Rattus norvegicus: one gene and its partners. The protein of the gene in region 2 interacts with the protein of the main gene of each other region in a biochemical or structural test. Links are inferred from orthologs where the notes say so. Each region holds a gene or a part of one and is shown on either strand. Other genes may lie near its edges. The genes, in order: Foxm1, Cdk1 and Pbk.

What was found.
Region 1: of the proteins of Cdk1 (region 2) and Foxm1, one has a biochemical effect on the other in vitro, tested with the Homo sapiens proteins (2 studies listed by BioGRID). The link is inferred for Rattus norvegicus from reciprocal best matches to the Homo sapiens genes CDK1 and FOXM1.
Region 3: the proteins of Cdk1 (region 2) and Pbk form a complex in vitro, tested with the Homo sapiens proteins (2 studies listed by BioGRID and IntAct, with this or other methods). The link is inferred for Rattus norvegicus from reciprocal best matches to the Homo sapiens genes CDK1 and PBK.

What each region holds. Positions count from the first base shown.
Region 1 is NC_086022.1:163,322,949-163,330,357, reverse strand, and holds the start of Foxm1 (forkhead box protein M1), read right to left. Parts: upstream 4,731-7,409; 5' UTR 4,569-4,730; intron 2,528-4,568; 5' UTR 2,484-2,527; coding exon 1,979-2,483; intron 1,160-1,978; coding exon 1,008-1,159; intron 1-1,007. UniProt on the Homo sapiens protein: Transcription factor regulating the expression of cell cycle genes essential for DNA replication and mitosis. Plays a role in the control of cell proliferation. Also plays a role in DNA break repair, participating in the DNA damage checkpoint response.
Region 2 is NC_086038.1:19,269,168-19,276,476, forward strand, and holds part of Cdk1 (cyclin-dependent kinase 1), read left to right. Parts: intron 1-2,538; coding exon 2,539-2,695; intron 2,696-3,663; coding exon 3,664-3,787; intron 3,788-6,254; coding exon 6,255-6,425; intron 6,426-7,309. UniProt on the Homo sapiens protein: Plays a key role in the control of the eukaryotic cell cycle by modulating the centrosome cycle as well as mitotic onset; promotes G2-M transition via association with multiple interphase cyclins.
Region 3 is NC_086033.1:44,202,988-44,210,296, reverse strand, and holds the end of Pbk (lymphokine-activated killer T-cell-originated protein kinase), read right to left. Parts: coding exon 7,268-7,309; intron 6,312-7,267; coding exon 6,169-6,311; intron 5,556-6,168; coding exon 5,386-5,555; intron 4,261-5,385; coding exon 4,131-4,260; intron 2,124-4,130; coding exon 1,947-2,123; intron 1,519-1,946; coding exon 1,277-1,518; 3' UTR 727-1,276; downstream 1-726. UniProt on the Homo sapiens protein: Phosphorylates MAP kinase p38. Seems to be active only in mitosis. May also play a role in the activation of lymphoid cells.

The DNA of each region.
Region 1 (7,409 bases), on a different chromosome or scaffold from region 2:
CCCATGTGGACAAGTCTCAGACAACGGTCTCATCACTCAGTTTAAAAATTTGAGATAAAATTTTACAGGTCCAGCTGTATGTTTAAATATATAGTTTAATACAAATAAACTTCCTATAGGATTTACTTTGCTATTAATCTAACAGTGTATCTCCTAATAAAACTGTCATGCTAGGGGTTGGGGATTTAGCTCAGTGGTAGAGCGCTTGCCTAGGAAGCGCAAGGCCTTGGGTTCGGTCCCCAGCTCCAAAAAAAAGAACCAAAAAAAAAAAAAAAAACTGTCATGCTAATGATGCTACATTCAAGTTTGACTGTTGGGATGCCGCTTTAGTCCAAATGGCTGGGGCTGGAGAGATGGCTCAGTGGTTAAGAGCACTGTCTGCTCTTCCAGAGGTTCTGAGTTCAATTCCCAGCAACCACATGGTGGCTCACAACCATCTATAATGAGATGTGATGCCCTCTCTGGTAAGACAAGTACAGTGTACTCATATATAATAAATAAATCTTAAAAGAAAAAAAAAAAGTCCAAATGGCTTAGCTAAGAACCTTCATCATTTCCTGAATATTTACTAAGGGCCACTAAACCCAGGATATTAAACCCAGTGCTAGAGCCTTCGATGAGCCACAGATGGAGACAGTAAGAGGTCCCACACAGTAAAGTATCTCAGAAGTCACAGAGGTGGCTGTGCTGGCACACACAATCCTAGTTACTGAGGGGCCAAGGCAGGAGGGCCCAAGCAAGATATAGTCAGTCAGTCTTAGTGTGTCTGTCTCTGTCTCTCTCTTTCTCTCAACAGGGATTCTCTGTGTAGCTCTGGCTCTCTGGCTGTTACGGAACTCACTCTGTAGAGCAGGCCTGCCACTGCCTCCCTTAAAGGCCTGCACCACCACCACCAGCCTATACTGCTATAGTCACTCTCCAATACCTCCAAAAGAAGGACAATGTTTAAAAGAAACAGCACACAGAAAAGCCTTAGGTAGTGCTACTAGAACTTCCAAACAGTTCACCTTAACCCGATTCTGCTCCAGGTGACAATTCTCCTTCTCTTCCAGTTCCTGCTTAATGCTGCAGCGGCCCAGCCCATCAGAACTCATCTTTCCAAGCCACTGGATATTGGTTAAGCTGTTGTCCAGTGTGCAGCCGGCCGCTTCACCACCTGCTAGAGGGAAAACAACCCAAGACTCCATTAGCAGCCTCTTCAGATGCCCTACAGCTCTACCAAAACCAACGGTTGGGGATAACCCCTCTGAGACCTGTTCTAAGGGACAGGGAATACATGGTAAATCGTTGTGGCTCTAAGTTATTCTGCTCCATTATGGACTTCAGTAGACATTCATGAACAATAAATTGTATTTCAATGAGACAGATGGAACCTCAGGCATCTGTCAAGGCAAATTTTGGTAGCTACACAAAAAAGTCACTTTTCTTCCCTGGGCTTTGGTTTATTTCTTTAAAATGGAAATTTACTTCCTTACAAGTATGAATAAGAATGGCCCCCATATTTGAAATGAGGAGGATTAGGGTGTGTGGCATTGTCAGAGGAAGTCTATCGCTGAGGAAGCCCAGGGTCTGTGTCTCTAGGCCCAGGTCAGGATGTAGCTCTCAGCTGCTGCTCCAGTGTTCTCTGGCATGCTGCCATGCTTCCCACCATGTTGGTAACGGACTAAACCTCTGGAAGTATAAGCAAAGGTTGCTTTCTTTTCTAAGAGTTGCAGAATAGTCACTAAGACACATGTCAATACAAAGAATGAATCAACCAACCAACCCTTTTCCAACATAAAGAGAGCAACAGGAAAGCTACATTACTATAACCATTTCAACAGCTCTCAGGTGTTTCAATGCTCAAAGAATAAAGGAAGAAAAGGCCTTCTTCTTGGTTCCTCCTAGATTCCTGCCTACCACAGACATCAGTGTGACACACTGAAGACCTTTCCAGTGAGGAGAAAAGCCAACCTCCACACCCTTGCAGACCACATACCACAGCTCTCCTGTCTTTGCCTTGGAAGAGCTCCAGGTGGCTTGGGAACAGGCACACCCTTAGCCCCTGGCTTTGGTCCCAACGTCTCGGTGATCAGTTCTGTTCTCTTGGAATCAGTGCTGGTTTGGGCTTGAGATTGAGGATCAGGAGGATGAGATGAGGCCCCACCAGAGCTGATGAGGATGAACTTGTTGGGCCCACTGCTGCCACTCTCTTTCCCTTTGGCAGTCAGCGCTGTGATGATGCTCTGGATGTCCGCGTTGTTGGGGATAGCCACCACTTGTGTGTTGGGCATGGTTGGGTGGTTGATAATCTTGATTCCAGCTGGAAATTTGCAAGAGCTGGACTCTGCCACATCTTGGGAGGCCTGTGCTTGAGTAGGCTCCTGCTGTCCAGGGGATCTCTTTGCTTCTTCCTCTGAGGTTTCACTCGGGGCATTTTGAATAGGAAGGGGCAGCCTCCGTCTCTTGAGAATCAGTGGCCGCCGGGGGCTGGTTCTCATCATGAAGCTGTGCTTTCACTCTCCATCGAGAATCACAAGCTTTGACCCTGCAGAGGGCAAGGAGAAGCTTGCTATCAGATCTGCTGGGCTGAGACAAACTGGAAGTGTTCCTCTGCATGAACAGACAGAAGCAGAAGCTCAAAGGCCCAGGGGAATCCTGCCTGGACCTTTGTCCAACCCTCAGACAATAAGGACAGAAGCTAGGTTTGATGCACACTTGTGATCCCAGCACCTAGAAGGTTTAAGGTCACCCTTAGCCAGAGAGTGAATTCAAGGTCAGCATGGGCCACATGAGACCCTGTCTCAAAAACAAACGAGCAAACAAGAACAAACAAATAAAGCCCTATCACTGACCAAGGAAAGCTGAAAACTGCAGCAAACACTTCAAGATGGGAACATGGGACTGCACTGAAGTGCATGGTCCCCTGTAAGCTTAAGAATGTTTGGCCAGGCTGAGAATGTAGCTTAGTAATAGAGTGCTTGCTTAGCAAGGCCCTAAGTTCAGTTCCCAGTACTACAAAAAGGCAAACAAACTAGAAAGATTTGGGAGGGAGGGGAGGCTGGCAAGATGGCTCAATGACCGAAACCATCAGCTGCTAAGCCTGGCCACCTGCATTCAGTCCCCAGGACCACGATGGTGGGAAGAGAGAATCAGCTCCTGACTGTTACCCTCCAACCTCCATACATGTGCTGTGGCATGTGGGCAACCCTCCTCCCCAACCCCCGCCCCAGTAAAAATGCAAAAACCTCTTTTTGAATGTTTGGCCAGAGGAATACACATCTACAAGAATGTGGAAATACCAGCCACTGTCCACTAGAATGCAGGTCACTCTCGATGACTGTAGGGACGAATGAAAGACTCTACCCAAGCCATAGTCCTAGTGCCCTTTTCTTTCCGTCTCAAATAATGCAGCTGACCTACACGTCTGATTCTCCTGCCTCCACCTGCCAGAATCACAGGTGTGGCTACAATGCCAGGTTTAGGTAGTGGTAGGAATTGAACCTGGAGCTTTGTGAATGCTTGGTAAGCACACTACAATTAAAAACTCCAATCCTCTTGAATTAAAAATAATTTTTTTCAATAGTTGTCAATAACCACTGAGCCATCTCTCCAGTCCCATTCTTTCTTTCAAAATCTGCAAAGCATTTGCACAGTGACATTTTGGTACTTGAGAGTAACTATATTTTAGTTTTATAAGTATAATACTTGATTTTTCTGCTTCTAAAGACTGTAATACAGATCTTCTCCATACCAAAATGTGCTATCATTAATATGCTTAAGGTGGCTTTAATTTTTGAGATAGCGTCTCATGTAGCCCAGGCTGGTTTTGAACCACTGAGCCTTTGGCCCCCAATTTTCTAGGTGCTGAGATTACAGGCATTCACCACTATGCCTGGCTATGCTAAAGTCACTTTGAAATGCTAAGGAAGGAAGTCTTTAGAAAAAGCATTTCATAGGTTTTTATAGATAGATAGAATAATTTATCATTAAATTAAATCCTGCCACTCCATTTTGCAATCCTGCGAGAAAGGGAGAAACAGCCGGCACTTTAGGAAACCTTCCAAAAAGTAATTACACTTTTTTGACATTTGCCAGCTGCTTAGCCTTCTTAGGTCCCTTCCTCCCTGTAGCTTTCTCTCCTTTATACTTCGTTCTCTCGACCTTCAAATCTCAGTTCTCGTTTTGCTTCACACTGCACCCACCCCAATCAAATGGTAGACACCCCCCACCATAGGGTACCTCTCTCTTTGACCAGCCTTTTCCTAACACTCCCAAAATCTTCTAGCGCAAGGCGACTTGCAGAGCCATCCCCAAAGACCCCATTCTCCACACAGAACCGGGAACCTTGCAACGCTCAGCTAGGATCCCACCCTGCAGCTGTGGAGGCGGAGGCAGGGTTGACTGCAAGTGCAGACTCAGAGGGCAGGCCTGTTCCCAGGGTCCCGGGGTGCTCGGAGAACGCGGCGGGAAAGCCGAGGCCGGCGGCTCAGACTTTCTTCCTGGCGGTCCTCAACACCCCCTCGCGCCCCACAGCCCCGGCAGTCCCGACTCCAAGCCCTCCCCGGACCGGGTCGCACCCCACTCACCTCACAGGCCACCGCTGCTCCACGCGGGGCCGAGCCAGGCCAGGGCGGGCGGGTCCCGGCGGGACGGCCGGGGTGGGAACCCGGGGCGGGGTGGGGGGTGAGCCCGGGCCGGGGGTGGGTCCCGCAGCGCCGCTTTCAGTTGTTCCGCTGTTTGAAATTGGCGCCGGCGGAGCGTTGCGGTCACGTGACGGAGCGTCGCCAATCGGCACCGGCTTGTCTCCGGGTTCCGGCCCCGAACGCTCGGCGTCCTGAGGAGCGGCGGCCGCGGCCGGGAGGGCGGGTAAGGGGGCCCCGGAGCTCGAGGGACGGCGGGAGGGACGCGGGGACGCGCGGACCGCGGCCAGCAGCCTGCTCCGCCCCGCCCCGGACCGCCCTGCCTCCGTGGTCGACTTCCTTCCGGGGCAGCGTACGCCACTCCCCCGGTTAGCTACCCACTGGGCTACCTCTGGATCCACCGCGCGGCTCAGCCCTCGTTGCTGCGTGGGGTCCAGCTTGGGTTTCTGTCCCCAGACTTGCGGTTAAGTGCCCTACGCCCCGCCCCTGTCTGTGGCCGCCTCCACCTCGGGCCCAGCCCCGAGGTGTCCGGACGATCTTTTTTCCATACTTTACGAAAGAGTGGAAGGTACAGTGGCAGACCGGGCCGTCCTTCCCCTGGGCTCACCGGTGGTCTGATGGAGAGGGAGCCCAGAATGAGATGAACAGATCGGTAGAATTCTAGCTACAGAGGAACAGGTTAGAGGCCGGTGGGTTTTGTCTGACCCCGGGTATCCCCATGTGTAGAATTCTCGATTCTCGTGTTTCCGCCTTCGGAGTAGCCCGGGTCACTGGCTCGCCCTCCCGCAGCCGCCAGTGATAAATTTGAGTATTTATTTTAACGAGAAAATCTTGACTTAGGGCAGGAAAGCCTTTCTTTTTCCTTTCTTTCTTCCTCTCTTTTTCCTTCCTTCCTTCCTTCCTTCCTTCCTTCCTTCCTTCCTTCCTTCCTTCCTTCCTTCCTTCCTTATGAGCTGAGAACAAGGTGTAAGATCTGTCACCCATTACACAGAAGGGAAGGAAACATTGAAGCAGCTAGATTAAGAAGGGAGATGTTTGGGGCTGGGGATTTAGCTCAGTGGTAGAGCGCTTGCCTAGGAAGCACAAGGCCCTGGGTTCGGTCCCCAGCTCCGAAAAAAAGACCAAAAAAAAAAAAAAAAAGAAGGGAGATGTTTTGACTGGAGGAGGCTAGGCTGGTGAACACAAAGGCTGAAGGTCACAGGGATTTGAACTAAGACTTAGGGGGCGTGGTATGCTATGAGATGGGGAGCAGATAAAGACTGTGTTTGAGAGGTGAACAGGTTAGAGGCTGGTGGGTTTTCACTGACACCAGAATGTGGTGGCTCACGCCTTTAATCCCAGCACCCAGGAGGCAGAAGCAGGCGGATCTCTGTGAATTCCAGGCCAGCCAGGTATTCATAGCCAGCCCCAGGCTAGCCAAGGCTACATAGTAAGACTCTATCTCAAAATTAAAAAAAAAAAAAAAAGGCCAAGATTGTGCAAAACCTGACTTAGATTTTGTTTGGGTAAGTATATAAGAGCTTATCTAGATTAGACAGAGATGGGTGGGATATGGCCCAATTTCATGGGCTGTGGGCCTGGACTGACTAAAGAGAGAAAGCTAGCCGAGCAGGAGAGTTCATCTTCTTCCTGCCTGTTAAAGGGATGTGCCCAGCTGCTATGATTCCAGCAACAAAGGACTACCCTGGAACTGTGAACCAAAATAAGCCCCTCTTTCCTTCACTTGCCTTCCAGGGAATTTTATGATGGCAACAGAAAAAGCACCTAAAACAGTGGGGCATGCCTTGGGAACCAGCACTTGGGAGGTGGAGACTACACAGTGTATTTGAAGCCAGGCGAGGCTATGCAAGACCATGTCTCACAATAAGACGACTGGTATACAGCCGAGTGGTACCGTTATCGCCTAACACGCTGAGGCCTGAGGTTCAATCTGAAAACTGAAAGGAATGCATTTTTTTCAAAATCATGCAAGGGGAAAGATAGGGGAAACTAATAGATCATATATGGTCAGGATTGAACCAGCTGGGTACTAAGTACATGGGGCTCATCCCGTAACTCAGTTGACCCCTCTTTATGTTCTAGAGAATCTGTGGGCTGTTTTTTTTGTTGTTTGGTTGTTTGTTTGTCTTTTAACAAAACCTAGATGTGAGCCTAAGCTTCTATCTGAAATTCTGTAATGATTGATTACTCAACCCCCACCCCACTCTCATGTGGCCTCACTTGGTTTTCAGACTCAATGTTGACACCATGTTTAATATTATTTTTTTTGTCATTTATCCTTTAAAACTTTTATTAAAAACAGGGTCTCACTTTGTATCCCCCACTAGCAAGGAGCTCACTAAATAGATCAGGTTGACCTCCAGCTCAGAGAAATCTGCTCCTGAATGCTGGGATTTGAGATGGATGTTACCACCTCACCTACACCTAGCCTCTTTTCCTTTTTTATTTTGTTAGCTAGATAGTCACATCCTCATAGATAGTGACATTGTGTGTGAGGACACATGCCTGTGAGGACACACATGCCACACATGTGGATGTCAAAGGACATCTTTTGGGAATTAGTTTCGGCCTTCCGAGTTCTTGTGAGTTCTGGAGAACACACTCAAGCCCTTGGTTTTTGAGGCAAGTTCTTTTACTGCTGAGCTATCTTTCACTCAGTCTGCAATGACCTTGTGATTCTCTGAATTCACAAAACAGCGTTTTGGCTGTTTAAGGTTTCACGTGACTCAGGGTGGTCTCTCACTAGCCAAAGGCAACCTTGAGCCTCCTGATCCTCCTGTCTCCCTT
Region 2 (7,309 bases):
GTGAATGGTGTGCCTTGGGGGTTTCTTTTTTTTTAAGGTGACCATCCCGGCAGCTGTCTCTTTACATGGTGACCACTTACCTTGCCAGCATCGTCTACTGCCACTCACCTGTCAAGTTGGGTGATGCCCTTTCTCTGATGCCCTTGGGTAGGGCTTTCGGAAGCCATCTTTGACTTGTTCTAGTGCAGTGGTTCTCAGCCTTCCTAACATGGCAGTCTTTTAGTTCCTGTGGTGACCCCCCACCATAAAATTTTGTTGCTACTTCATAACTGTAGTTTTGCTACTCTCATGAATCATAATGTAAATATGACATCAGTACGCAGAATATCTTGATATGTGTGCCCCTCCAAAGAGCTATTGGCCTGCAGATTGAGAACCGATGTTGCAGTTGAAGGAAATTGTTCATTTCCTTGAGGCAGACTCGGTATTCCTTCTAGCTGCTCTGGGCTTACGTGTCATGAAGGCTGGGCCCCAGCATCTCTCACAGTTGCTGTTCAGGTCCTACAGCACCTTGACCTGCTTCCCTGAATTCTGTGGCCTAGAGGCTTGTCTGCTACACGGTGCCTGGCTGTTCCAGATTCTCTGTAGGGGATCTTGAATGGCTTGTTGAAATAATTTGAAAACTAGGTAATAACTGTCTACATTTTCTTCTGCCAAGTACCTGGTCAAACCTGTGAATGAGTTGTAACGTGTTTTTCCCGTGTCAGTGTTTTCTTCCGTAGTCACCTGGGTATTATTGTTGGTCACCATGCCGGGCGGCAGTCTTCAGATTACACAGTTGCCTGGCTACACATGGTTGGTGGGACCTTCGTTGGCGTTTAGTAAGCACTCCAGAAACATTTGTTTTTGATGAGGTTTAATGGATTTTTCCAAGCAGTGTTATCAAGCGTCTACCACAGGATAACTAAGATCTTATCCTTGCTTTTACTTGTCTGACACGTTTTAAAATTCAGTGTGTGGGTGTGTGCATTTGTACAGGTGTGCATAGCCCATGGAGGCCAGAGATGTCGCCTCTTCTGGAATTGGATTTACAGGAGGCTGTGAGCCTCGTGTGGGTATTGGTCCTTTGCAAGGGCAGTGTGGTCTAAACCCTGAGCCATCTCTCCGGCCTTGTTAACTTAAAATACTTCAGAATCTGAATATTTAATTTCAGAGCATTTAGTTTAGCTTGTGAATAGTGTGCTTTCCTTAGCCCTGTTTCGGTAGTTCCTTGAGAAGAGCCAGGAGTTGAGAGACAAGCAGGTCTGTGTTGTCTAAGAATCAACAGTTACTGGGTGGTGGCTGCCAATCGTGGCTCTGCACATTAGTCAAGAACGCAGTAGGGCACCGGGAGGAACCAAGATGTCAGAAGGAATCCTGAATTCACTGTTAACTTATTTGATCTTTTAGATACCTTACTAATTGACTTCTTTGATAAAATCATCTTGCTAATGGCTTAGCTGCTTGTGCCTGTCAGACAAGCATGGTTTCCACCATTAAGGAACACGTGAGCTCTGCAGACAGAATGTTGTCAGTTCTTTTTATCTGGAATTGCATGGTTATTTAATCAACCTAGCATTTGGTCAAAACAGTAAGGATTTTATTTGAAGTAATATTATTAAACTAACTGGTGTTTAGGAAAACACACTGTCCTGGAATTTAAGGGATGGCGGAACAGAGCTTCCGGGGACAGCAAGCTGCTTGCTGTTGTAAGCATTGGCCACTGGGCTGGATTCTTAGAGCGAGTAAAGGCTGTAGAGAAGCTTGTCTCCAACCTGGAATCCTCCTTCCTGAGTCTTACAAGCAGCTTGAGGATAGCTGTGTGGATAGCTCTGCTGTGAGTACAGCTCTGTGGCACCAGGCCTGGGGTTAGGGTCAATGCTGAAGTGACACCGATGTCATGAGAAGCTTTTCAACAAAGGCTTTACAGCGAGGGCCTTCAGTGCCTAGAGACTAGCATGGGTGTGAGAGAGCTGATAGCCCACCTCGATGTGTCTGCCGCACCCCAGTGTCTCTTCTTACTGCCATTGCTGTTCCTGTGACACTTGTGTTTTCCACATTCCCAGAGCTTAGGAAGCTTCCTCCTCTGGTAGATGATAGCAGCTTTATTGGGTTTAATAAAAATGTGCGGTGTTTCTGTCTCCACTCTGCTGGGTGAGGAGTGTTGACTGCATTTTGAGATATGTGTTGTAAAAGTATCAAGGGAACCCTAAGTCAGTACAGTTTTGTGAAAGTCTCACAGAGCCCCTCTCGGTACTGTTTCCCAGTCTTAAGTTTATGTAGCGTTTAACTACATAGCAGGATGTTTGATCGGTGAATTGCAACTCGTAGGAGATCCATGTTCCTGTGCTGGGTTGTGAAGCAAGCTTACCTGGGAGACTTAGGGTGACTCAGTGACTTTTATCTCTAAACCATGTGTGTGTTTGCGTGTAGTCATCTTCATTTCCTTTTTGAAAGTAGTTAATATGTGTGAGGTGACCTATCTGACCGCAGCCAGCATTTCTCTCCTGGGCCCCTCAAAGAGCTCAACTTTAAAAGAATCTTTCCGCTTTATTTCAGGGACTTATGGTGTGGTATATAAAGGTAGACACAGGACTACTGGCCAGATCGTGGCCATGAAGAAAATCAGACTTGAAAGCGAGGAAGAAGGAGTGCCCAGTACGGCAATCCGGGAAATCTCTCTGTTAAAAGAACTTCGACATCCAAATATAGTCAGGTGTGCTGTGTTGGAATTGAACCCATTCTCCCCGGGGCTGCTGCAAATCCATTTTAATGTGGAAAGTTTTCCGCAGTTTCTGGTTCCAGTGGGATGGAGTCCTGCTTGCTTGTTGATTGTGGTGCCAGGAGGAGGTAAAGAGAACCAGATGTTTGGAGAATCTGAGACATGATGCTAGAGTTGGCTGGAGGAGTAAGGTGCAGCCGCGAGACCCCTTCCACGAGAAGCTTGGTCAGCTCCTACTTTTAGGGCCCTGGTCCACAAAGGCCTCTAAGTCCCCAGAGGCTCCTAAGACAAGTAGCTAGGTTGGGGCATGAGGTATCCTATGTTCTGTTGACTCATTTGGGCTGGGTCTTTGAGGAAGCTGTCTAGTGGTTCATTGGAGTTTCTGTTGGCAAGAGGGACTGCACCCAAGGCTTGGGGCATGCTAAGAAAGCTCTCTACCACTGAGCTGTAGCCTCTGGCCTCTTAATTTGGGGTTTTGAATTTTTGAGACAGGATTTTACTGTAGCTCACCTAGATTGGCCTGGAATTTACTGCTGTCCTCTAACTCCCTAGTGCCGGGAATAGGGGTTTAATCCACCACACACCTCCACCCCTCTCACAGAATTACCCAGGTTGCCTTGGGTTCTTTCCACCCCAGGCAGCCTCTGAATTTAGAGGCCCTCAGCCTTAGCCTCTTCAGCGTCTGCCTCTGGTAGCCGCGGTGACAGGCCTCTGCCCCTGGCCTGGGTACTAACTATTGTACTGGGGCTGGGCCTAGGGAGCAGCTATTGAAGTTGGGTTCAACTTTAATGTCCACAAGCATCCAGCTTTGGGAGTGCAGGAGGCGTGAGCCAGCTCCTTCTGCACAGGGAGCTGTAGGTTACTGTCCTGAACTTCCTTCCTCGAGTTCTGTTCAGCACTTGTGTGTGTGGAAGCCGAGGCAGGCAGGGCTGCTTGCTGCACTCACGCCATGCTCTGCTCAGCCTGCAGGATGTACTCATGCAGGACTCCAGGCTGTATCTCATCTTCGAGTTCCTGTCCATGGATCTCAAGAAGTACCTGGACTCTATCCCTCCTGGCCAGTTCATGGATTCTTCGCTCGTTAAGGTAAAGAGTTGTGTACTTTTATTAATACTTAAATGCCCTCTGAGTGTAGACTCCATCCTTGTGTTTTGTGGCTGGATCTTAGAAAACCTGTAAGAAAATAGAAAGCCTCTTCCTTCCTTCCGCCCGGATGACGTCATCCTTTGCCTGTCTTATTTCCAGACAGTTCTAGACGTGCTACCCTATGGACTATATATTACATTGCTGGGGGCAGGACAAGGCTGCAGCAGTTCCGTGCAGATCAGTGACACCAGCCTGAACCTAGCGCTGATGCTAGGTGATCTTACTCTGTGAAAAATACGCTTTGGTTGATGTAAACATTTTATTTCAGTTAAAATATAAATGTATGTATTGGAGTTGGGGATTTAGCTCAGTGGCCCTGGGTTCAGTCCCCAGCTCCGAAAAAAAGAAAAAAAATAAATGTATGTATTACTCTTTGTGTGGGGGACTGGGTATTTGATCCAGGGCATTGTGCATAACTGGGCAAGCGCCTTTCTCAGCAAATGTGTGCAGGCTTTAAATGTCTGTAGTAAAGGAGTCTTAACCTTAAAGCAGCTTTATTCTCCCCTGAGCTGTGTCCATGCCTTGAGACTTTTCATGTTGGCTTTGTATATGCGTCCGACCACAGTGGGGTTGTTATGTGTGCTGCACACGAGTTAGCCCTCTCATGTCTCTGTTTTGTAATGGTTTAATCATTTTCACAGTTACTACGCCATTTCCACTTGTTACTTCCTCCTTTAGTGATGGCTGTTCTTCGTGAATCCTCAGGAGCGCTGGGGGTTCTTTCTGTAGCCCAGGCTGCCTAACCCTCCAACCTTTTTCTCCCAGGGATGGAGATTACAGGCATGGGCCACCAAGCCCACCACTTTATGTGATTTTAGAGATAAATCCTTGGAACTAGGATAAAATAAGTGCTTATATTTAAGATCTTGCTGAACAGGGCCATATGGCCTCTAAAAGTCAATTATTTATTACATTGTTACCAAGACTCACCATATGTATCTTTTAAATAGTCTCAGTATATTATGTGAAGGGCTTTGTTACAGTTACTCTATTTGACATTTATATACTGTGTCTACTCATTTATGCACACCCTGCCTGAACATATCGCTCAACTTTCTGTATGAGGATGTGGGTCAGCGAGTTCAAAGGTCATTTTACTGACACACGGTGATTTGCTAGTGGTGCCAACCATTGCTGGTGCTTACACTGTGTATGACTTAGTCGGGCTCAGTGTTGGCTGTGATGAAGGCTATTGGCCATAGCAACTTGGGGAAGAAAGGGTCTCAGAAGGAAGTCAGGATAGGAGCTCAAGCAAGACAGGATCCTGGAGGCAGGAGCTGATGCAGAGGCCATGGAGGGGTGCTGCCTACTGGCTTGCTCCCCATGGCTTGTTCAGACTTATTTCTTATAGAACCCAGGACCACCAGCCCAGGGATGGCACCACCCATGGTGAGCTGGGCCCTCTCCCATTAATCACTAAGAAAATGCCTTACAGGCGGTACAACCTAATCTCCTGGAGGCATTTTCTCAATTGAAGCTCCCTCTCCAATAACTAGCTTGTGTTAAGTTGACATAAAACTGCCCAGCACAATATTCTTAATGGGTTTTTTTGGACCTTGTTTTGTTGAAGGCATAATATATAAGATCACATGTATTAGAATAATGCCAGTATTTTCCTGCCCTCTCCTACCTCCTAACTTTTCTTTGAGATTCCTTTTGCTTTAAGAGTAGAGGGCTTGGGGGGATCTCCTGGGAAAATGCTCATGGTACAAGCGTGAGGAGCTGAGCCTCTATCATCTAGAAGCCCAGAGTGGGAAGGACAGAGGCAGGGACAGGGGGGAGTGGCTCTGTTGTGTCTCAGGGACTACTGGCCAGCCAGCTTGGCTAAAATGGTGAGCTTCAGGTTTAATGAGAAATATTATCTCAAAAACAAAGGTGGAAGCAATAGAGGAAGACGCTGATTTCCACCTGTGACCTGGGTACCTACATGGGTGTGAGCTCATACACACATAGGATAGTGAGCAGTGTGTGTGTGCGCTTGTGCACACATTAGAGAATTAGGTTATCAATAAACTTTTACAAAGGCCCAGTTTAAACTGTTTTACATATTTCTCTGTTGTCTCCAAAGAGGAAATGCATGTGTAAGTGACAGAAATGGGGGGAAAAATTTTATTTAGGATAGAAGCAGTTGACACGAGTGTGTTGAGGAAACTTCTGCACAGAAAGCTAACTTTTGACTTAAAGACAGGGAACAAAATTTTAAATGCTCCTGTGGGATACATCTTTTGATAACACGCACACTGCATGTGTAAACAGGTTTCCTGTCTGCCTGTTTTATGTTAGTCTAAAGAGGCCTAAAATGTCTTGTGATAGCTATCTCTGCGTCATAATTTATTTTTTTCAGAACTTTTTCCTCTAGGAATCTTGTAGAATGATCAAGTTTCCGACTTGCTTGTTTCTTTTCTAGAGTTACTTGTACCAAATCCTCCAGGGGATTGTGTTTTGTCACTCCCGACGAGTTCTTCACAGAGACTTGAAACCTCAAAATCTATTGATTGATGACAAAGGAACAATCAAACTGGCAGATTTCGGCCTTGCCAGAGCGTTTGGAATACCGATAAGAGTGTACACACACGAGGTGAGCAAAGCCCTGAGATTGTGGTTGCTGGAGTGCTGCCTCTGGTCTTTAAGCCAAGAAAGAAATACTTGGTTGAAAAAAGTGTCTGCAGCTAAGCAGTGGTAGTGCACACCTTTATTTAATCCCAGCAGAGGCAGAGGCAGAGGCAGGAGAATCTCTTTGAGTTCAAGGCCAGCCTGGTCTACAGGGCATAGTCAGGCCTACACAAAGAAACTATGTCTCAGAAGACCAAAAAAAAAGTTCTGTAGTATCAGTTTATTGCTTTTTTTTATTATCAATCCGCTCTCGTTTATGTGGACTATAGAGATGGAATCTTTGGCATCGTTTGTCAGGGGAGATTGATTGCTGCCTCAGCCTCAGGGAAGGGGTTTATTGTAGTTTTTGGGAGTTCTCATTTCTCTGTATTGACCTTTCCCAGACCTGTGCTCCCTCCTGATTGGACCCTGCTGTGGTCATTCAGATCAATTAAAAAGCAGGTTTTGCTGTCTGAGGTACTGTGATTAGATTTAGGAGCCAATTAGTGCTAGCGGAGGGAGCACTGGGGACCGAACCCCAGCCTGTGCTGCCCGGATGTTCTGTCACTGAGCTGTGCCCTTGGCCTGTCATCAAGCTTTGTCAGTGGGATCTTGATGGCTGGCATCTCATATGATTGCTCTGTTTTATTATTTCCTCTGTAGTGGGGTTTGATCCACAGGCCTCACACACTCTGCCCCCTGAACTGTGTTCCTGCTCCTTGTTTTGAGAAAGTCTCACTGACTTGCCCCGGCTGGCCCTGAGGTCACTGGAGTGGATAGACTTTGGCCTTGGGACTCCTGCACTGGCCTTCCCAGTAGCTGGGATTGTAGGTCCACACCACCAGACTGGGTTTCTCTGGTATTTCTGGA
Region 3 (7,309 bases), on a different chromosome or scaffold from region 2:
AGTTGTACAAAATATATAACCACCATACCCTAAGACTCAAAAGCAATGAAAAACAAAAGTTTGAAATTTAGTCAAAGGGTCATGACATCCTGAAGTGTGGCATTTGAATGGGATCTTGGAACAGAAAAAGTCACTGAACAGTACATCTGAATAAAGTATGGAGTTGAATTGCATTTCAGTACTGGTTTATTGTGACAGGTACAGTGATATAAAGTGATATGTGAAAAATGGGGTGTCTACAGGGAATATCTCTCAAAGTGCCAGTGTATATGTTTGAGCCAATTCATGCTTTATGGCCAGTAAGTAGAACCTGTCACTTGGGCAAACCTATTTAAAATGACACATCAGAGAAGGAGCAGATAAGGCTGAGTCCCTGTGTGCACACTTTAACAATTTTTCCATAAGTAAATTTTCAGTTTGATGTCACTTTCCTACTGTTTAGATGAACAATATGCTAATTAGTGATCTGTTTGGTATACTCCTAAGAGGAACCTACCAGGAAATTCTAGAAATTAATGCTTCCTATTTGTTGCCAAGGTAGAGAACTAAATGGTGAAACCAGGTGGTGTAAGTTCTGGTAACTGCAAGGAGCTATGACTCAAAACAATTGACACAATTTAACCTCACTTTATACATAAGAAAACAAGGTTGAGAGAAAGAAGTCACATTCACTCCACAAATCTAATGGTTAACACATCAACAAAAACAGAAGATAATGCTGAGATGCCTGGTACTAAAACTGTTTTTATTGTTTATTCTTACATAGCTTTTAGAAGACTTCGTATACAGTCAGTAAAAACAAAGTAAATTAGATGCTAAGGAGTGGAGAGAGGCAAGACAGTAACCAGGGTCTGAAACATTCTAGGGGCTATGCTTCTGCACCAAGCTCTTAAGCTTCAGGGCACATGGGCCAACAGGCCAACTAAAAGGTGGACACTATGAGCAGACAATTAACTGTACTGTGTGTATAGTGAAATTTTTAGTAACCCATTAAAGAAGCAAGAATATCTAAAACGGTCTTTAACAAAGCAATGGTCCCTTGATTCTAAGTCATCTTAGAACAGAGGTCACTAGTGTTTAAATCAGTAGGGGCAGCAGCATCTAGATACCTGGAGAGTTTTTTAAACTTCAAAGACTATCCAGTACAATAAATGCATATATAGGAAATAACATGTCAGAAGGTTATACAATTATTAACTATGTACAATGGTCTTAAAATAAGCTACTTCTAGAATCTAGCTACTATAAGTTATATTAGCTAAATAAATACATCTAGTTAACAGTTCCCATACAAGCTATGCTTCGAGCTTAGACCACAACATTGGCCATCTAGTTCCAAAGCTTCAACGATGTGTGCAGCAGATGGGCGATCTTTAGGATCCTCATTAGTACACACACAGAAGAGTTCAATGACCTTCTGGTAGGATTCATCCAGTTCTTCCATATTGATGGATGGTCTTGTCCCCAGAGCTGCATAGTAAGCTTCATCATCGAAGTCACTCTCATCAAATGTTGCATCTGCACATGAGGGAGGTAAGAGATGAAAACAAGCAAAATCAAGTTGGTCATGGAATAGCTCAATGATTTACCCTCCTGCAAGGAGGGGGTTATCCAGTACACATTCCCCTATATACCACAGGCTGTCTGTCCAAATCTCCTGCCACAGAGTTTAGCTATTTTCTCTCCAAAATGTTAAACTATTCAACTAGATACCCCCACCCACCTAATGTAAAACTGTTTAAGAAAAAATAAGAACCCATGAGTGGGGAGAGGAATACCCTTATCTTCCTATTATCAGTCTATCTCATTTATATAGGATTAAATCTAGCCAATCACAGTATTGCTATAATCTTAACTCTAAATTTTGATTTAGCAGAAAGACAATTGTATGCACTAATCTACTAGAAGGAATTCAGATTTATGTTAAAACCTATTTGTGGTTATACCTTCATCATCATCATCATCTGGAAGGTTGATGTGTGGAATACATAAAGTCATCATTTCCCAAAGAGTAAGGCCAAAAGCAAACATATCTGCCTTGTCAGTAATAATGCCATTTTCCTCCAATGCTTCTTTGGGTTTCCATGGCTCAGTACCAATATAACAGGCCTCAGGATCAGTCACTAAAACAAAATGCAAGTAGAATAGTCATGAGAGCAACCAACAAAACAACACAAGCAAAACCCATTTGGGGAGTTCAGAGGTTAATCACTATATTCAACCTCACTATAAAGAATCTGTCTCTATCAGACTGGCAAGTATTAAAAAATCTCATCAGTTGGTGGGAATGTAAGAAAACAGTTCAACCAGGTAGTGGTGGTTCGAGCCTGTGATTCCAGCACTCAAGAGGAAGAGGCAGGGGGCTGGGGATTTAGCTCAGTGGTAGAGCGCTTACCTAGGAAGCGCAAGGCCCGGGGTTCGGTCCCCAGCTCCGAAAAAAAAAAAAGAACCAAAAAAAAAAAAAAAAAAGAGGAAGAGGCAGGTTGATCTCAAGGCCAGCCCAAAGCTACACAAATAAACCGTCTCAATTAACCGGTGATAGAAATATAAAGAGTACAGATGCACGCCTTGCTTGGCCTGTGTGACACTGCAGGCACTTCAAGTCTGGGCCCTGGGTCTTCTGCAAGCAGCAGAGTCGGAGTTCGAGAGACGAATGACACTTCAGTGCTTCCAGGTGTGCTATGCCACATTAACAGTTTTCTAATACAGAGACCTTTCTCCATCTAGTTCCCTCCTAATGATGCTTTAGGGCTTCCAGATTAGAGACTTAAACTTATATGGATTTATTCATTTTTTTTAATTCTCAGATTTTTAAATATCTTGGGATTTTATACATGGAATTTTTAAGTTTTCATTCTATTATTTTACTAATATATAGGAATATAATTGGTAACTTCAGTCATTCTAGTACCACTTTTCTTCTAAAATCAACCATGTAAAAGTCTTTATAGGATTGTCTCTTTACTAGACAGAGATTTTTGGCCTTCCTAGTTCTTTTGATAATATATTTTTCTAGGAAATAATCATTTTCATCTATGCTCACAACTTGGTGGAATACAGCTATCTGTAGCCATCCTTACAAATGTGTGGAGCATGCAGCTGAGACCCTCTTCATGCCTAGTATCTCTCTCTTCTCAATCTTGGTGAGAATTTTTATTTTCCCAAGGATCCAGCTTTTGGTTTTATTACTAACATTTTTCAGGATTTGTTTTTCTTGACTTCTGTTCCTGTCCTTATTTCTTTCACAGACTCTGCTCTTCCTTTCCTGGCTGACAAAGAAATGAAGCCAGTGGGGGCAAGTTTTGTCTTTTTTTAACATAATCACTAATAGCTACTAGTGTTTATGAATCAATTCTCTGTGATCTAAATACCGTTCTATAATTACATAAATTTACATTGTTCAAGTTCCAAATATCCAAGGCTCTCCTGGATATTTTGTTTGTAGTTTCTAATTTAATTCCTTTTTCTGGTAAAGTATTATACCTAAGATATCTTCCTTAAGGCAGAATTTGCTTTACAAGTTTAAAAACTATTCTGTAACTAAGATAAGTCAAATTCACTGGATAGTTTTAAAGTGTATTAATTTTTCAGTATTTCATTACTATAATCTCCATTTTCACACAAATAAGGATACAATTGAAAACAAAATGCTTTTAACTCATTCCAAACAGGAGAGAAAAACAAGCAGTTTAATCAAAGCTAATCTTAAATTCTATTTTGAGGCTTTCAATAAAATTACAAGTAAAGAAAGAAACATTTGAAGAGAAAAGGGAAGATGGAATAGTTGATCCTATTTAGCATGATTAAATAAGAATGCCCAGGAGCTGGGGAAGCTCTAACCTAGTGGGCACGTCTTGCCTATAGTTGTTCAGTTACAATCCAGGCTATTAGGGCCAGTGTGGCCACAGGCTGAAGGCTGGGAGGCCTGTGAGCCCAAGGCCATCCTCAACTGACGTATTTAAACAAATCAAAAACAAAAAATTACTACCAAGAAGTCAGTAAGTGTTCATGTGGCAAGGGAAGGAGCAAAGACACTCTATTATACACTTTTGAGAAAGTTAATTTTAAACCATGTAGGTTTATTATGTTTACAATGCAAAGTTGTATGAATTTAAAACAGTGCTGCTTACCAGTCATATTTTCATCCAATGGCAGAGAGACTCCTACATCACAGATTTTAATTGTTTCAAAGTCACCTTTAATTACAACATTTGAAGACTTTATGTCTCCATGCAGCAGCTTCTTTTCCTGATGCAGATACTAAAATTGGAAAAAGCAATCCAATACATTAGTAGAAAAATGAATAAAAACTCTTAAAACAATGGCTTTGTAACTAGACTTGTCCAAGTATTTGAAGCCAGGAAGGGAACATGCCACGTCCTCTAAAAATTTTCTTAAAGATGTTTGAATTCTCAAAGCCCAGATAATTTTCTATCCAGAAGATTTCCAAACACCAGATTCACTTGAGGCCGGCCAGTAGTTCTAGACTTAATTTCAGAATCTTCACAACTTACCTCAACTTTGATATAATACAAGAAAAGCAGGTGAGATGGGGCCACCATAATTCATAAGCAGAAGCAAAAATGTAATGCAAAGCTATATTATGTTTTATACATTAACTTCTTGGGTTGCAAACAATTATAGTCACATTTTGAACAGTGCTGCACAATGGCTGTCTGTTCATTTGGCAGCATTTGAGTACTACACTGTGAGCCTAACTGTGAAATGAGAGGCCATTCTTGCTGTGATCTGCCTTATTTCAAATGCAGCCTATCATGTGGTGAAGAGGCCCCAACATGGTTACACTGTCATTTATTCATTTCCTTATATATACATACTTCAAGTCATGAGTCAGTGAGTAATTCGGATGCTGCTATCCTTTGGCTGTCATGGAACTCACCCTGCTGACCTTGAACTCCCTGGCCTTGAGATCCACCTGCCTCTGCCTCCCAAATGCTGGAAATTAAAGGTGTGTATCACCACGCCAGCTCTATCTTATCTAAAGTTATCTAAAAATGTACTAAAAATTATAATTAAAATGTTTTTTCTCAATCTGCTCCAAAAACCAATTTCCTATGAAACCTTAACATGTAACCCTAACATCTCTATTATTACACTGCAAGTAGTTCTCTAGAGTCACTATTACCAGTATTTAATATAATCCCCCCAACCCCCAGAGAGAATTTCTCTGTAGCCATTTCCTCAAAACTCTGCCTCCTGCCTGCTGGGATTAAAGGCATGTGCCACCAGTGCCCAGCTATGTATCCATTTCTTTTCTTCCCTTATCTTCTACCTATCCAAAAGCACAGCAAACAAAATAGGTACAACACATGTTCATTTCTTCATAGTTCACCAAAGCTGTTTAAAATCCAGTGAAATAGTTACCTTTAGCCCTCTTGCCATGTGCAAAGCAACTCTGAGAATTACAGCTGCTGGAAAAGGACTTCCACTGTCTTTGTTCCGCTCTTCTATTAAGTCATTCAGAGACTTTTCACCTCCATACTCCATAGCAAGGCACAGACTACCATCACTGGCTTCAGTAAAAGCACGATAGCCTTAAGAAAAAATAACATTTCTCTATTAAACTCTTCATAATGTAACATGTACCTGGACTATCACAGTGAAGCAGCTACTGTTTACAAAGCCCAGAGGCATAATTCAGATGCCTTCGGGTGTGTCTAGCAGCACAGATCAAAATACTTTACTATGCTTCTGTAAACAATGATTCCACCAGCCTCATTAGTATCAAAAATGCAAAGTGGAAACAGCACAAGAATCCATCTAAATGAACATGAATGGTCTACATGAAGACCATTCTACATCCCAGAAATCTCAGAACCAGCACTAAAACAACTACTTCCAACCCAACTCCATGAAGGTTAAATACAAATACTTAAAGATCTAAAATATGTGCATTTTAAATATTTTTTTATTTATTTTATATTTTGCCTGCATGTTTATATGTGCACCACATGCATGCCTGAACTGAACCTGAGTCCTCGGCAAGCATGATAGGTTCTCTTACCTACTGATCCATCTCTCCAGCCCCTTATGTGAACTCACATTAACTTTTCCCCAACAACGTGTAGACCCAACATTATTAGCAAAACCAGATACTATACAGAACATTGCTTACCACATATTGCCACAAAGTAAATGTAGACTTACCTACAATGTTTGGGTGATTAAGGTTTTTTAAAATCTTAGCTTCATCAGTTAGTCTCTTCTGATACACAGTTCGATAATGATCATCGCATAAAGGATTTATCTTTTTCACAGCCCAAGGAGAATGGGACAACCCTCTCGGAGATCTAAAACATACATATGTAAACTTAGTGATACAAAACAAATAAGAAACACCAACACTCAAATTTTGCTCCATAGAAATAGGTTTTTAAAAGTATTTCTTTAGCTGGTCAGCACTTGTTACATTTCTGCTTCGAGTAAATCAGTGTCAACATTTAATCAGAACCTGATAAGATATCTATGCTCTGAGAAGGGATTAAAGGACAAAAATAAGGATGGACTGTTAGGAACTTATCAAAGTACAATTAAACTTTAGAACTGCTACACTATTTTCTAACATTTCTATCCTGGCATGTCAGCCTACTATTTAATCAATGTTTATCAATATGTATCAGAGATGATTTATGACATGCTTTAATTAATATTGAAAATTTAGAGTTTCTATATAATAGAATTCTATTCTTTTATTATAATTTGAAATTTCACACATATTTGTTTTGATCAAATCTACTTCCCACTCCCTCTCCTCCAGCTCCTCTTCTATTCCACCACCACTACTTCCCTCCTAACTTCATGTGTTTTTATTTTTTAGGCCCACCGAGTCCACTCAGTGCACGGGTAGCCTCTCTGGGCCTGCATCCCTAAAGAGAAGTGACTCTCCCTTCCCTAGAGCCAGTGACTGTGGTTCCCCATCCCTAGCCTCTCCTCTCCTCTATCAGCTACTTCAGCTCCACATGGAACACTCTCCACCTGTTCACCACACTCAACGCTGCGTTCTCGGATCTTTCTACCACTTTGTCTCCTTATAGAACCAAAAGGAAAATGATTAAGCTACTTCCCTTTTCATAACCTAGCAGGAGGAATCCAGAAGTAAAGTATTAGGGGCAGAACTCCAGCAGTTAGAACTGGAATGTGGCCTTCAGGTGTGATGAGAAACTTCCCCAATCCAAGTACAAGAGACCTACAGTCCCCCAAGCAGAATCTTACACTCACTCACTCACTCACTCACTCACTCACTCACCTTTTCATTAGGTAAACACTGACCCCAGTCCCAAAGCCGAGC